Bombyx mori: one gene and its partners. The protein of the gene in region 1 purifies or fractionates together with the protein of each later gene. This does not show direct contact. Links are inferred from orthologs where the notes say so. Each region holds a gene or a part of one and is shown in the gene's direction. Other genes may lie near its edges.

What was found.
Region 2: the proteins of intraflagellar transport protein 81 homolog (region 1) and intraflagellar transport protein 88 homolog fractionate together in Homo sapiens (co-fractionation; 3 studies listed by BioGRID and IntAct, with this or other methods). This does not show direct contact. The link is inferred for Bombyx mori from reciprocal best matches to the Homo sapiens genes IFT81 and IFT88.
Region 3: the proteins of intraflagellar transport protein 81 homolog (region 1) and intraflagellar transport protein 74 homolog purify together in Homo sapiens (affinity purification with mass spectrometry; 3 studies listed by BioGRID and IntAct, counting the BioPlex papers as one, with this or other methods). This does not show direct contact. The link is inferred for Bombyx mori from reciprocal best matches to the Homo sapiens genes IFT81 and IFT74.

Annotation. Positions count from the first base shown.
Region 1 is NC_085116.1:10,003,222-10,006,880, reverse strand, and holds part of intraflagellar transport protein 81 homolog, read left to right. Parts: intron 1-414; coding exon 415-546; intron 547-3,014; coding exon 3,015-3,215; intron 3,216-3,659. UniProt on the Homo sapiens protein: Component of the intraflagellar transport (IFT) complex B: together with IFT74, forms a tubulin-binding module that specifically mediates transport of tubulin within the cilium. Binds tubulin via its CH (calponin-homology)-like region.
Region 2 is NC_085119.1:6,950,722-6,954,856, forward strand, and holds the start of intraflagellar transport protein 88 homolog, read left to right. Parts: upstream 1-1,332; 5' UTR 1,333-1,416; coding exon 1,417-1,632; intron 1,633-2,155; coding exon 2,156-2,298; intron 2,299-2,753; coding exon 2,754-2,880; intron 2,881-3,192; coding exon 3,193-3,297; intron 3,298-4,047; coding exon 4,048-4,135. UniProt on the Homo sapiens protein: Positively regulates primary cilium biogenesis. Also involved in autophagy since it is required for trafficking of ATG16L and the expansion of the autophagic compartment.
Region 3 is NC_085111.1:14,773,190-14,776,667, reverse strand, and holds part of intraflagellar transport protein 74 homolog, read left to right. Parts: intron 1-194; coding exon 195-371; intron 372-704; coding exon 705-830; intron 831-1,118; coding exon 1,119-1,220; intron 1,221-1,345; coding exon 1,346-1,651; intron 1,652-2,220; coding exon 2,221-2,335; intron 2,336-3,478. UniProt on the Homo sapiens protein: Component of the intraflagellar transport (IFT) complex B: together with IFT81, forms a tubulin-binding module that specifically mediates transport of tubulin within the cilium. Binds beta-tubulin via its basic region. Required for ciliogenesis.

The DNA of each region.
Region 1 (3,659 bases):
TTTATATTTAATCGTTTTAAATATCATTTCATCATTTATGTATGTACCTTATATACTATTTATTTAGAGAATTTACTTTACCGGTTTGGGCCGCTCAGTGCCAACCTAGAGACCCAAGACAGAAAGAGAGATTACCTAACAATTTTTCTATATTTGTTGATATACGGATTGCGGCTTTTATAATAGGCATCCGGATTAAAATTAAAAAAAACAGTAAAGACTTTCATACCAATTTAAACACCAATTACAACATATGATGTTGTCAGTGGCTAAATGTGTTAAATTAGACTAGGAACCTTTATTTTACTTGGGCTCTAAATGATTTCGTTTTCAATTAAAATGTAAAAAATCTCAACCTTTTTTAGCCACAATTTACATAGAATTATACGATAACTTTTTATTTTCATTTTTAAGTTGAACAGTTATTTGGTGAAAGAAAAATTACCACAAGAGGCAGCTCACATACAGAAGGAATTGAACATTATGCAAAACATCGCCGCCGAGCAACATCCTAGTCGATCGGATCTACATGTGGTTCAAGATAAGGTTTTATTTATATTTATCTATAGTTCGTTTATATTTAAAAAACTTACTTTCATCACAGTTACGTGTTGCAACCGAACTGAGTTTTATTTATTTATATATCTATCTCACTGCCTTTACACATAAAGGCTGTGCCGTGCCACTTTTAAAACCGGAACGGAAGTATTCTCGTTCAATGAATTTTACTTTTACTGTTCCCCCTTACCGCAACAAGTATTGACCCTTTTTATACTGAACCCACTGCTTTCATTTACAGTGAGTTTTTAGATGCTTCACACCGTCAAGTTCTAGAATGAACGAGGTCCTTTATTAGTAATAGACAGTTACCTGTCTGTATTATTACTTACTAGCGACCCGCCCTCGCTTCGCTTCGGAAACTGTTATTTATTATTGATTTCTCCACTATTTAATGGATGTTATTATACATACAAATCTTCCTCTTCAATCACTCTATCTATTAAAACCGCATCAAAATCCGTTGCGTAGTCTTAAAGATTTAAGCATACATAGTGACATAGGGACAGAAACCTTTGAAAACAGTAAATAATAAAATGATTTTAATTTTAAAACGTCAAATTTGAACCTACGCAAAATAAAACAACATTTTATTTGGTTATAAGTTAATATTGAATTTGCTCAGTAATTGCTTCGAAGTTATGAATTTTCCGTATGAGGTTATTTACATTGAGAGTAAATTAGGGCATCCAGAGTGGAGCGTAGATATTGTTTGTTCATACATGTGTAAGTAGATACCTACATAACTATTGAACTTGATTGTACGAGATTTTGCTTAATGTAATGTAAATTATTATTATATAATTGTAATTCACTAAATACTATCGGTTAAAATTTATTTATATCAATATTTTAGACAGTAGAATTCAAGTAACAATCAAAAACACTTCGGGAAGTAATCTATTTATACAAAAGAGAATGTATGTATGTTCACCTAAAACTCGAGATTAGTTAGTCTAATTTATATGAAACTTTGCAAACATACATAAAAGGGCGACATGCTCACTCCGACGAACATTGTTACGTTAGTGTCGGACAGGCGGCGCTGGTGGTAGGGATTTTTATCTTTGGAACAACATATCGAATTCATATGAAATCAACATATTATATACATATATATATAGCATTTTTTCTATTTAATTTACTAGGAATTATAAATAGGAATTGTAAGTTGAAATAAACATGGCGTTGCTCTGAAAACAAAGGTTTTATTATTTTAATAACTTAAAACGTACACAACAGATCACATTGTGGACCTATAATAGGTATCTCACCTGAAAACAAAGAAACGACAATAAGCCCGAACATGGCAGATGTCAACCCTTCAATATCAATGCATGTCACCATTATCGACAGGGCCATCTATATGATTACATAAGAGCTATAGAGCGCTGTAAAAATATACTATAAAGGAATGTAGTATCTTTACATATATTTACATGAAACTCTCTTGGCCCTTCATTTATTATTATTTAAAATTCTCTCATTTTTTTTTATTAGTTTGATGGATGGACTAGCTCACAGCCCACCTGGTGTTAAGTGGTTACTGGAGCCCATAGACATCTACGACGTAAATGCGCCACCCACCTTGAGATATAAGTTCTAAGGTCTCAGTAGAGTTACAACGGCTGCCCCACCGTTCAAACCGAAACGCATTACTGCTTCACGGTAGAAATAGGCAGGGTGGTGGTACCTACCCGTGCGGACTCACAAGAGGTCCTACCACCAGTAAATCTTAGTAGTATTATCTATGATGGTCGAAGCTAATGCGCGGGAAATTTAATATATTTAATGAAGGGCCAAGAGAGCTTCATTTACATATATATATACATATCTATATAAATGAGATTGTACGTCAGTATGTATTTATACATATGTATGTATATGTTTGTTCACCTAAAAATATATTTATTTATTTTTATTGACCCTGTAGGGAAAAGAGCATACGGCCTACCTGATGGTGAGTGGTTACCGTCGCCCGTGGACTTCAGCAATACCAGGGGTAGAGCCAAGCCGCTGCCTACCTACCCTATCTTACGTAGTTACCTTTCTGAATCGTCTTATAGCTTTTATGTTTTACTGGCTGACCCGGCAAACTTCGTATTGCCTCAATCGATAAATAAAAGATCTAAACTTTTGTATAAAATAAACTTAAAACAAATAAAACGAATCGGTCCGACGGGAGGAAACATCAAAGGAAAAACAAAATTGTTATTTTTATTTGATTCCAAGCATTTTCATATTTATCTACCTTTTAAACCTCATCTAGACTTCCACAAATAATTTAAGACCAAAATTAGCCAAATCGGTACAGCCGTTCTCGAGTTTTAGCGAAACTAACGAACAGCAATTCAATTTTATATATAGAGATTATCAAATTGTATTTAGTTACGAGCGAAGCCACGAGTGCCGCTGGTGGTTATGTTTAAATTTGAAATATTCATATATTATAATAGATCGCTGTTGTGAACGGGGAAATGGAGCAATTAGTTCAGCGGAAGCTAGCAACCTCTGGGCCTCAAGAGGACAAATTGGCTCCATTCAGACAACAGGCCGCCGTGATCAGACGTAACAAGGAGACGAGCGCGACGCGGGTTCACGAGCTCGCCGCCGCTCTGAAGCAGCACGAGGCGACGCTCGCCGATCTTCAATCTCAGGTAAATTTCGATTGGAACGTTGTCTCAATCAATCTGTCTGTCTGGGAGACGGGCGTCGGCTAAAATTAATTTGATATCGTTTCCAACATTGTGCGCGCGTACAAAATATCTATTTTCTCCGAGGGATTTAAAAGATAAATTTGTTTTCAGTTGCAATAAAATTTTTTATTTACTAGCTGACCCGGCAGACTTCGTAGTGCCAAGACCTAAACTTTTGTATACAATAAACTTAAAACAAACAAAAGGAATCCGTCCGACGGAGGACACATCAAAGGAAAAATTGTTATTTTTATTTAATTCTGAGCATTTTCATATTTATCTACCTTTTAAACCTTCTCTGGACTTCCACAAATAATTCAAGACCAAAATTAGCCAAATCGGTCCAGCCGTTCTCTAGTTTTAGCGAGACTAACGAACAGCAATTCATTTATATATACCTTTATA
Region 2 (4,135 bases), on another chromosome or scaffold:
ATATTCTAAAAATGACATACTTATTATACAACATAATTACAATTGTTTTTAACAACTAAGTCATATTATCTCTGTTTATAGGCTACTTTAAACTGGTGTTATCTTAATGATAAGCGAAAAAGTGTACAAAAATATGAATACTGCATTTCTAACTAGTCTTTTAGGGTCACGAATTAATTGACATCCTTATTTTTTTTTTATTTGATAATTTATGTAGACTATACGATCGGATTATCATGAAAAGCAAAATCATATTAATGTGTACATAGTTTGTAACGTTTGTTATTGCTTTCGACGAAGACGAATAGAGTTTTTGGAGAACATTTATTTTTATATCCAGTTTATTCAGAATGTTTATGTGATTGGATAAAGATCGGTCAGGAGCAGCGCGCGGAAGTTGTGGTTCGTTCATTGTTTTACGTATTTTCAATTTATTATTACTATATAAGTGTAGTAGTTTATAGATTACTTTTTGTGACGGATATTTTTTCTGTAGTCAAACAGGAATCTGTAATTTTCAGTGTCTTCCAACACTGTTCTTGTACAAGAAGGGTGTACCAGTTTGTCATGTGATTTAAATCTTTTCAGTTAGTTGTTAAATTTAGTTTGAAATTATTAATTTTGTTTAAATTGGTGTGACGATATTGAAATGGACTTGAATGTATTGATTACTGAACATGTCATAAATTTTAAATATAGAGATTGAAAATTTACGTTTTTTTTTTTACCTTAGCGAACAAATCTGTTACCTCCGAGGCCTAGTCGGTAAGACAACGTTGAAAAAAACATTTACCGTATTTTTTTCCCTACTTTAGCTGATAAGCCTTGAGAGGCTATGTCAGCTTAACCTAACAAGTACATGAGCTCGCGGAGCTATAACCTGACGACAATGCTAACACTAACCCTAACAAGAGCAGTGCTTCGCAGAATCTACCGCCAGATCAGAAACGCGACCCACTGAGAAGATTTAGCGAGAAACTCGGTGGGCTGTGTGTGTAAGTTACTTTACCCGCCGAGCCCTTTGTCGCAAGCGATGGGTTTGACGAGAACGATGGCCGGTACCTACCTAAAAGCCCCGTTAGTGGATCAGGAGGATCCGAAATGACGTGTTTAGGGCTTTACCGTACAAAGCGGAATCGTACAACGAATAGGACCTGTTAAAGTTACATATTTAGGTATACGTAAATAATTATTGGTTTTATTAGATACCTTACTGAAACTAGAAAGGCCTTCGGGCCACCAGTAATGTTATTAACAAGAAAAAAAAACCGTTTGATCCATAGAGACTGAACAATTGTCTTTTTTGTTTATATCAGCCGGTTGACATGGTAACGGCGTCACAACATACGTATTAAACAGGTCGGGATACTCCAATAAGATTTCACTTGATAAATTTATTTTTAAGAGATTTAAGAGATGCTAAGTTCTCGGTACTACAGCGCGTCCCGACTGGGCACCGACGCAAAACCTCGTACGGCCATCATTGTTGATGAAGATGACGAACTTTATTCCGGGTTTAATGAAGTGGCTCCGGCCCTGGACACGCGGAACCTGAGGGAAGACGAAACGTTCCAGGAAACTTTGAGAACGGCTGGGATCGGGAGAAAGTTACCCAGCCGTACGGGCACTGGGGTCAGTATTCATTCAATTCTCCACCACTTGATATTATTTATTAAATACTAGCGACCCGACTTCGCTTCGCTTCGGAAACTGTAATTTATTATTGATTTATCCACTATTTAATGGATGTTATTATATATAATATAAACCTTCCTCTTCAAGTACTTTATCTATTAAAAAAACCGCATCCAAATCCGTTGCGCAGTTTTAAAGATTTAAGCATACATAGGGACAGAGAAAGCGACTTTGTTTTATACTATGTAGTGATTACATATTTGCATCTTGTAAATCTATTAAAAAAAGTATATATTTTCATTGCTGGACTTTGTAATATTCTCAAGTGTAGGTATATATGGCGTAATTGAGACGATCATGTTAACATATTTACTAAAATGGTGGTACATGTTCGATCCGACTCCTTACCATCGTAGCCATCAGCCTAATTCTGTTCACTCAGTCAGAATCAGAGTCTTAATCTCCAGGTAGACTGCGCTACTGCTAACGCGTCTTAGAGGAACGTAATTATAATTGGTAGATGGTGCGGCTTGGCACGGTAAGCATGCGAGACGTGGGTTCGAGGTCCGGTACATCAGCACGTCCCGTGACCGCACTGCGCGCTGCTGGGTACACCTCGGCGTCACGCGATCGACCCATGCCCACTCAACATTTGGAAGACAGGTGTATTTAATCATTTTTCAATCAACATCAAATTTCTAAATACGAAATAACAGATTACTAATTGAAATTTAATTTATTTATTAAATTCGACATTAAAAAGTTAGAAATATTAGTATTCGAGTAATGATGAAAATTCAACTATAATCACTGATTCCTCAATTCGTAAATGTAATAAAAAGTAAAGTTAAATTTCATACGTAGATATTTTTATTATATATATTTATTATATATAGTATCTATTATTATTTAAATATGTTATTATTTATACCTTGTTTTTAGAATATCAATGAATTGTTCCAAAATGTTGTACAAAATATTTAAATTCTTCCTAGAGTACCAGTAGTAGTCGACATTGATATTTAGCAAGTAAATTTAGTTTGACTGGCTCCCAAACTTTGGCCTGGATTTTAGAAACACTTGTAGGTGCTCTTAAATTAAATTGATGCGTGTTACAGCGTCGAAGATCGCGTTAAGCAAATGGAAGCACGAATCATGGCATTGGTGGAGGAGTCTTGTTTACTGAGCGCCCGACCAGATCCTGATGATGATAGTACTACTAGAAAAGAACATGACTTGGGCCAGGTTAGCTTTTGTTGAATTTTTAATAAGATAACAAATTGTATAATGATTATTTGGTTTATACACATAATAGAAGGCGATCTGTGATTGAAAAATGATTATAAAGCGATGCGACTCTACGGAACCTTAAATCCCTTGACTATTTTTTTTTTCAACGATACTACGACCCTCGAACGTTTTTATCAATGACGTACGCGATGTAAAAATTAAATTCTTGTAAAAAAAACTTAATCTCGTCTGTTGTAACTATATAACCTATGGAAGTACGTAAATTTATCTAATGTAAAAAATAAAATATTAAACGTTATTTTAAAGGCACTTGCAAAGGCTCAAGAGGCGTCCACGATGGAACGACAGCTTATTCGCATGCAAGAACAAGCGAACTTGGGTGACACTCACAACTTGGATTTGACTTTTGCTGTATGTACGACTTAACTTCCAACTTTTTGTATGACAACTGCGGAAAAATAGGCAGGATTATCGTACTTATCCGTGTGGGCTACCAAGAAACTTTACCATTAGCAATTACGTAAATTATATTAGCAATACTACAAAATCTAAAGTATAAAAAAATATTTTAAAGCAGCCATAGCCGCTTTGTAAGCTGAATAAAGTTTTAAACCTAAACCTTGTCACATTGCCCGTGACAATCCTTCACTGTCACAGACTATGTATGAAATACACCCATTTATTAACTCTTTGACTGCCATGTAAGCCACTGGTGCCCCACGTGACGTGTTGATTTATGTTACTAAGGCGGTGGAACATCTAGTAGACTCTGGGAAAGACGAGTCCGAAGATACTGAGAATGAATATATTGCGAAGAGACCTTAAAAACTAAAAGGTACATTAATAGAGAAGAAAAGGTAAAGTTAGGCAATCCAAGTGCCTTCGTAAAAGAAATCGACATCATTAGTTCAGTGCGCCACGTAGGGCACCGGTGACCTACAGGGCAGTCAAAGGGTTAAATCTACTCGCTGCTACCCGTGATACGCAGATGGTACTACTTCAAAAACCTTCCCTGAAATTCTAGCATTTGTGCTATTTAATTTCCAAGTCCATCATGTGATGTGAGCGATGTTCGTATGCATAGATAATTAAACATACAATTAGGTATTATATCTTGTTTAGAGATAAAAATAAATTCAATATTATTATGATAAATTGCAGGTGCTTTGTAACTTGGCGGATCAGTACGCACTGAACGAGATGTACACTGAAGCACTGAACACGTATCAGTTGCTGACTAGAAACAAGT
Region 3 (3,478 bases), on another chromosome or scaffold:
TCCGTTAGGCCACAACGACTTCAAAAAGCAGCTAATCCTTATCCTCTTTTTCTAATCTTTACTTAATCATTCCTTAATACAAACACAGAGAAGACCGCAAAATGAAATCCGGGTGCCACCGGGTGTCTTTAAAACTTTTTTTTTTTTTTCGTATGCAATTTTATGCAATCGTATGCAATATATATTGATTTCAGGAACAATCGACGATCACAAAGATACTGGCCGAAATGACGGTGGAGCAAAAAGATCAGTATAATGAATTGCAAACTACGGCTGCAGCATTAAGAGAGGAAGTGGAGCAGAGCAGAACGCAATTAGATCTCTTGAACAGAGAGAAAGAAGAATTTGCTCGGGAAATATCGGGATCGCAGGTAATTGTTCAACATCAACATCGATATTGTCCGTTTTTTTGTTATAAGTTCAGCGCAGGAGCTTGCAGCCCATTTGACACATGTGACATGTGGTCAGTGGACCGCACAATAAGACGACAAATAGAAACGCATAACTGCCTCGTAATACAAATAGGTAGGTCGATAATAGTTTATCCATTTACACAAAAAAAGTGGATAGTACGAAAGAAAAAACTAATATTCTAAAACATTCTCAAAATACTGCCAAGGCTTATGTTACCCACAACATTGACTTACAACAGTCGTAGCTATTCGAATCCAATAAGTGACTTTAATAGAAGCACCGTTTCCTAGATAAAAGTGCACCTTCTAGAACTACATCGAAGGCTGGTCGCCGTCGAAGAAAAACGCGACAACATGAGAAACGAAATAAACAATCGATTGGATCCGCAGGAAGAAAGGGAGAAGTTACTGTCCCAAGTATGTTCATAACAATCATTAAACAATTTCAAACGACAAAATAAATTCAGAACCATCTACTAAAAGTCCATTATCTCAAAGATATGTTGATATACCTGACTCATTATTTAAAATTAAAGCAACCGAAGATCATTTACTTTCTTAAACGTTCGTCCCGACTACAGAGTCAATTATTCTGAGAAGTTTGTCATTTTAATAGATGAAAATCAATGTCAAAGTTTCGTTTTTTTTAATTACATTTTTATCAGTCAGTATTCCTGATTCATTTTAATCTAGTAAATATCTCAGGTGCGAGAAGATAACGCCGCCATAGCGGTATTGGACAACAACGCTACGAATTTGAAAGAACAGATCAAGAAAGTTCAAGAATTGATTGAGCAGTCTGAACAGGTTGGTTATTTTGATATTAAATGATTTTCCATTAAAGCCAATCTATGAACTAAACGAACTTGGAATCTACTCATCCGTGTTTCTCAATTTTTCCCTTTGACATTTTCAAATAAAATATATTTTAGGATCTCGAAGAAGGCAACTCCGAACGCCATCAGAAATATCGCGAATTGAAAAAGCGAGAAGAAACAATGGACTCGTTCATGGAAACGTACGAAGAAAATCTGAGAAATGAACAAAATAAAATCGATCAATTGGAAAATGATATCGTGTTCGCTTTAGAGCACAGCAGTTCCAATATTGACTTAGATCTTAGCGAAATAGATAGTTTAAAGCAAAGGGAAGGCTACACGTCAACATATGATGAAAATAAGAAATCCATCGATGCACTCACGAAAGATTACGAACGTTTTCAAGCAAATTTGAAAAAGGTAAAGTTTTATAATCTAATAGCTGTACCCGTCTGCTTCGCTGGGCATTTAAAATTAACATTATTATTTCTCACCCCACAAAGATTCTCATCATTAACGCCCCCGCAACTGGTGTAGGGAGTCCAACACTCATATAAATATTAGCCTATCCATTAAGTACATGTACTTTCTACACGAATACCAAGTTTCAAGTCAATCGGATGCACGGTTCAGTAGTTATAGCGGAACATCCGTAAAAATCACTATAGATTTATATATTAAAGTAGGTATAGGTTTTTAGTATATGACATTTGAGGCCGACCAAATCACGGTCGTGGCAATTCTTAATATTTTTGTACTTTAAATAAATAGAAAATGATGTTTCATTCATTAAGAAGACGCGCTTATGATCATCACAGCATCTTCGTCATCATAACGAAATTACAATTGGCTCTCATTGCTTCTAATAATTCGTTTGAGAAACACAAACACTCATTGTTGCAACTATATTTGTTTTGAACAGGAAAAAGCGGATTTGGTTTATGTAGATCAAATGGAAATTGCGTATCGTATTAAGAATTATTTTTCAGGCAACAGCAACACGAGAGAGGTTGGCTACTGAATTACATACTCTGCCGGAAAAGACGCGCGTCATGAAAGAAGAGTTGGTCACACTGAGCGACTTGGAAATGCTTCGAGAGCAAGGTACATAAGTGTTGTTTTTTCGGATTAAATCTTATAGCGCCATTGCGTAGTTGTGTTTCTATAAAATACTGTACTTTTTTTTTTTTATGATTGAGGTGGCCCGAAGGCCTTTCCAGTTTCACCAGGACAGGTGGGCGAGCAAAGGCTCAGCCAAGAGGGGTGGGATTTGCTAACAACTGCCCGAGCGCCTCCGAAGGAGACCTAACAACTCAAGAGCAATTGTTTCGCGAATGAATCTACTACCGGATCGGAATCGCGACCCGCTGAGAAGATCCGGCGAGAAACTCAGCGGGCTGATGCATGGGTTAGGTTGCACGTCGACCTCTTTGTCGAGTTCGACGAGTACGGTTACCGGGGTCCCTAAGCCTGCCCCTAGTATTAGAGCTGAAGGCATCTAATGCAAAGGTTATTGGATCTGATGGATCCGTAAGGACGTGTCTAGGGCGTCGACGGTGACTGGCTCCTGCATGATCAGGATTCGGGGAGTAGTCAGCGGCGGCAACGATAAGGCGATTATCATGACGCATAGCCTTATCGAAGTATCGTTCCGACGCTGACTTCATGTATTTCCGAATTGATTCGAGGCCCAGGTCGTCGTGTAGGTCAACGTTCCTCACGAACCACGGAGCCCCGACAGCTAACCTGCAAAAGCGGGATTGTAGGGATTGGAGGGTGTCTATGTGTGTGCGGGCCGCGTGAGCGAACACCACACTCGCGTAAGTCATGACGGGCCTTATGCAAGTTTTGTAAAGTGTCACCTTGTTCCGAAGGGACATTTTACTCCGCTTACAGATCATGGGGTAGAGTCTACCGAGAATAAACGCGGCACGGTCACGGATTGATTTTATATGCGGGCGGAATGTCATCGATGCATCCAGGGTAACGCCCAGGTACTTGACCTTCCTGGCCCAGGGTATGGGTTGTCTAAAGAGAGTAATCGGGGGTGTGAGATTCCTCCTCCTAATCCGGGAGGAAATCCGTGTGGAGCTTCCCCTCTGAAATAGTACCACAGTACTTTTCGCTGGGTTGATGTCTATGCGCCATTTTCGGAACCACTGTCCTAGGGCTAGGGCTGCGCTCTGAAGCTTCTTCGCGATTAGGGACTTATTTCTACTAGAATAGTAAACAGTCGTATCGTCGGCG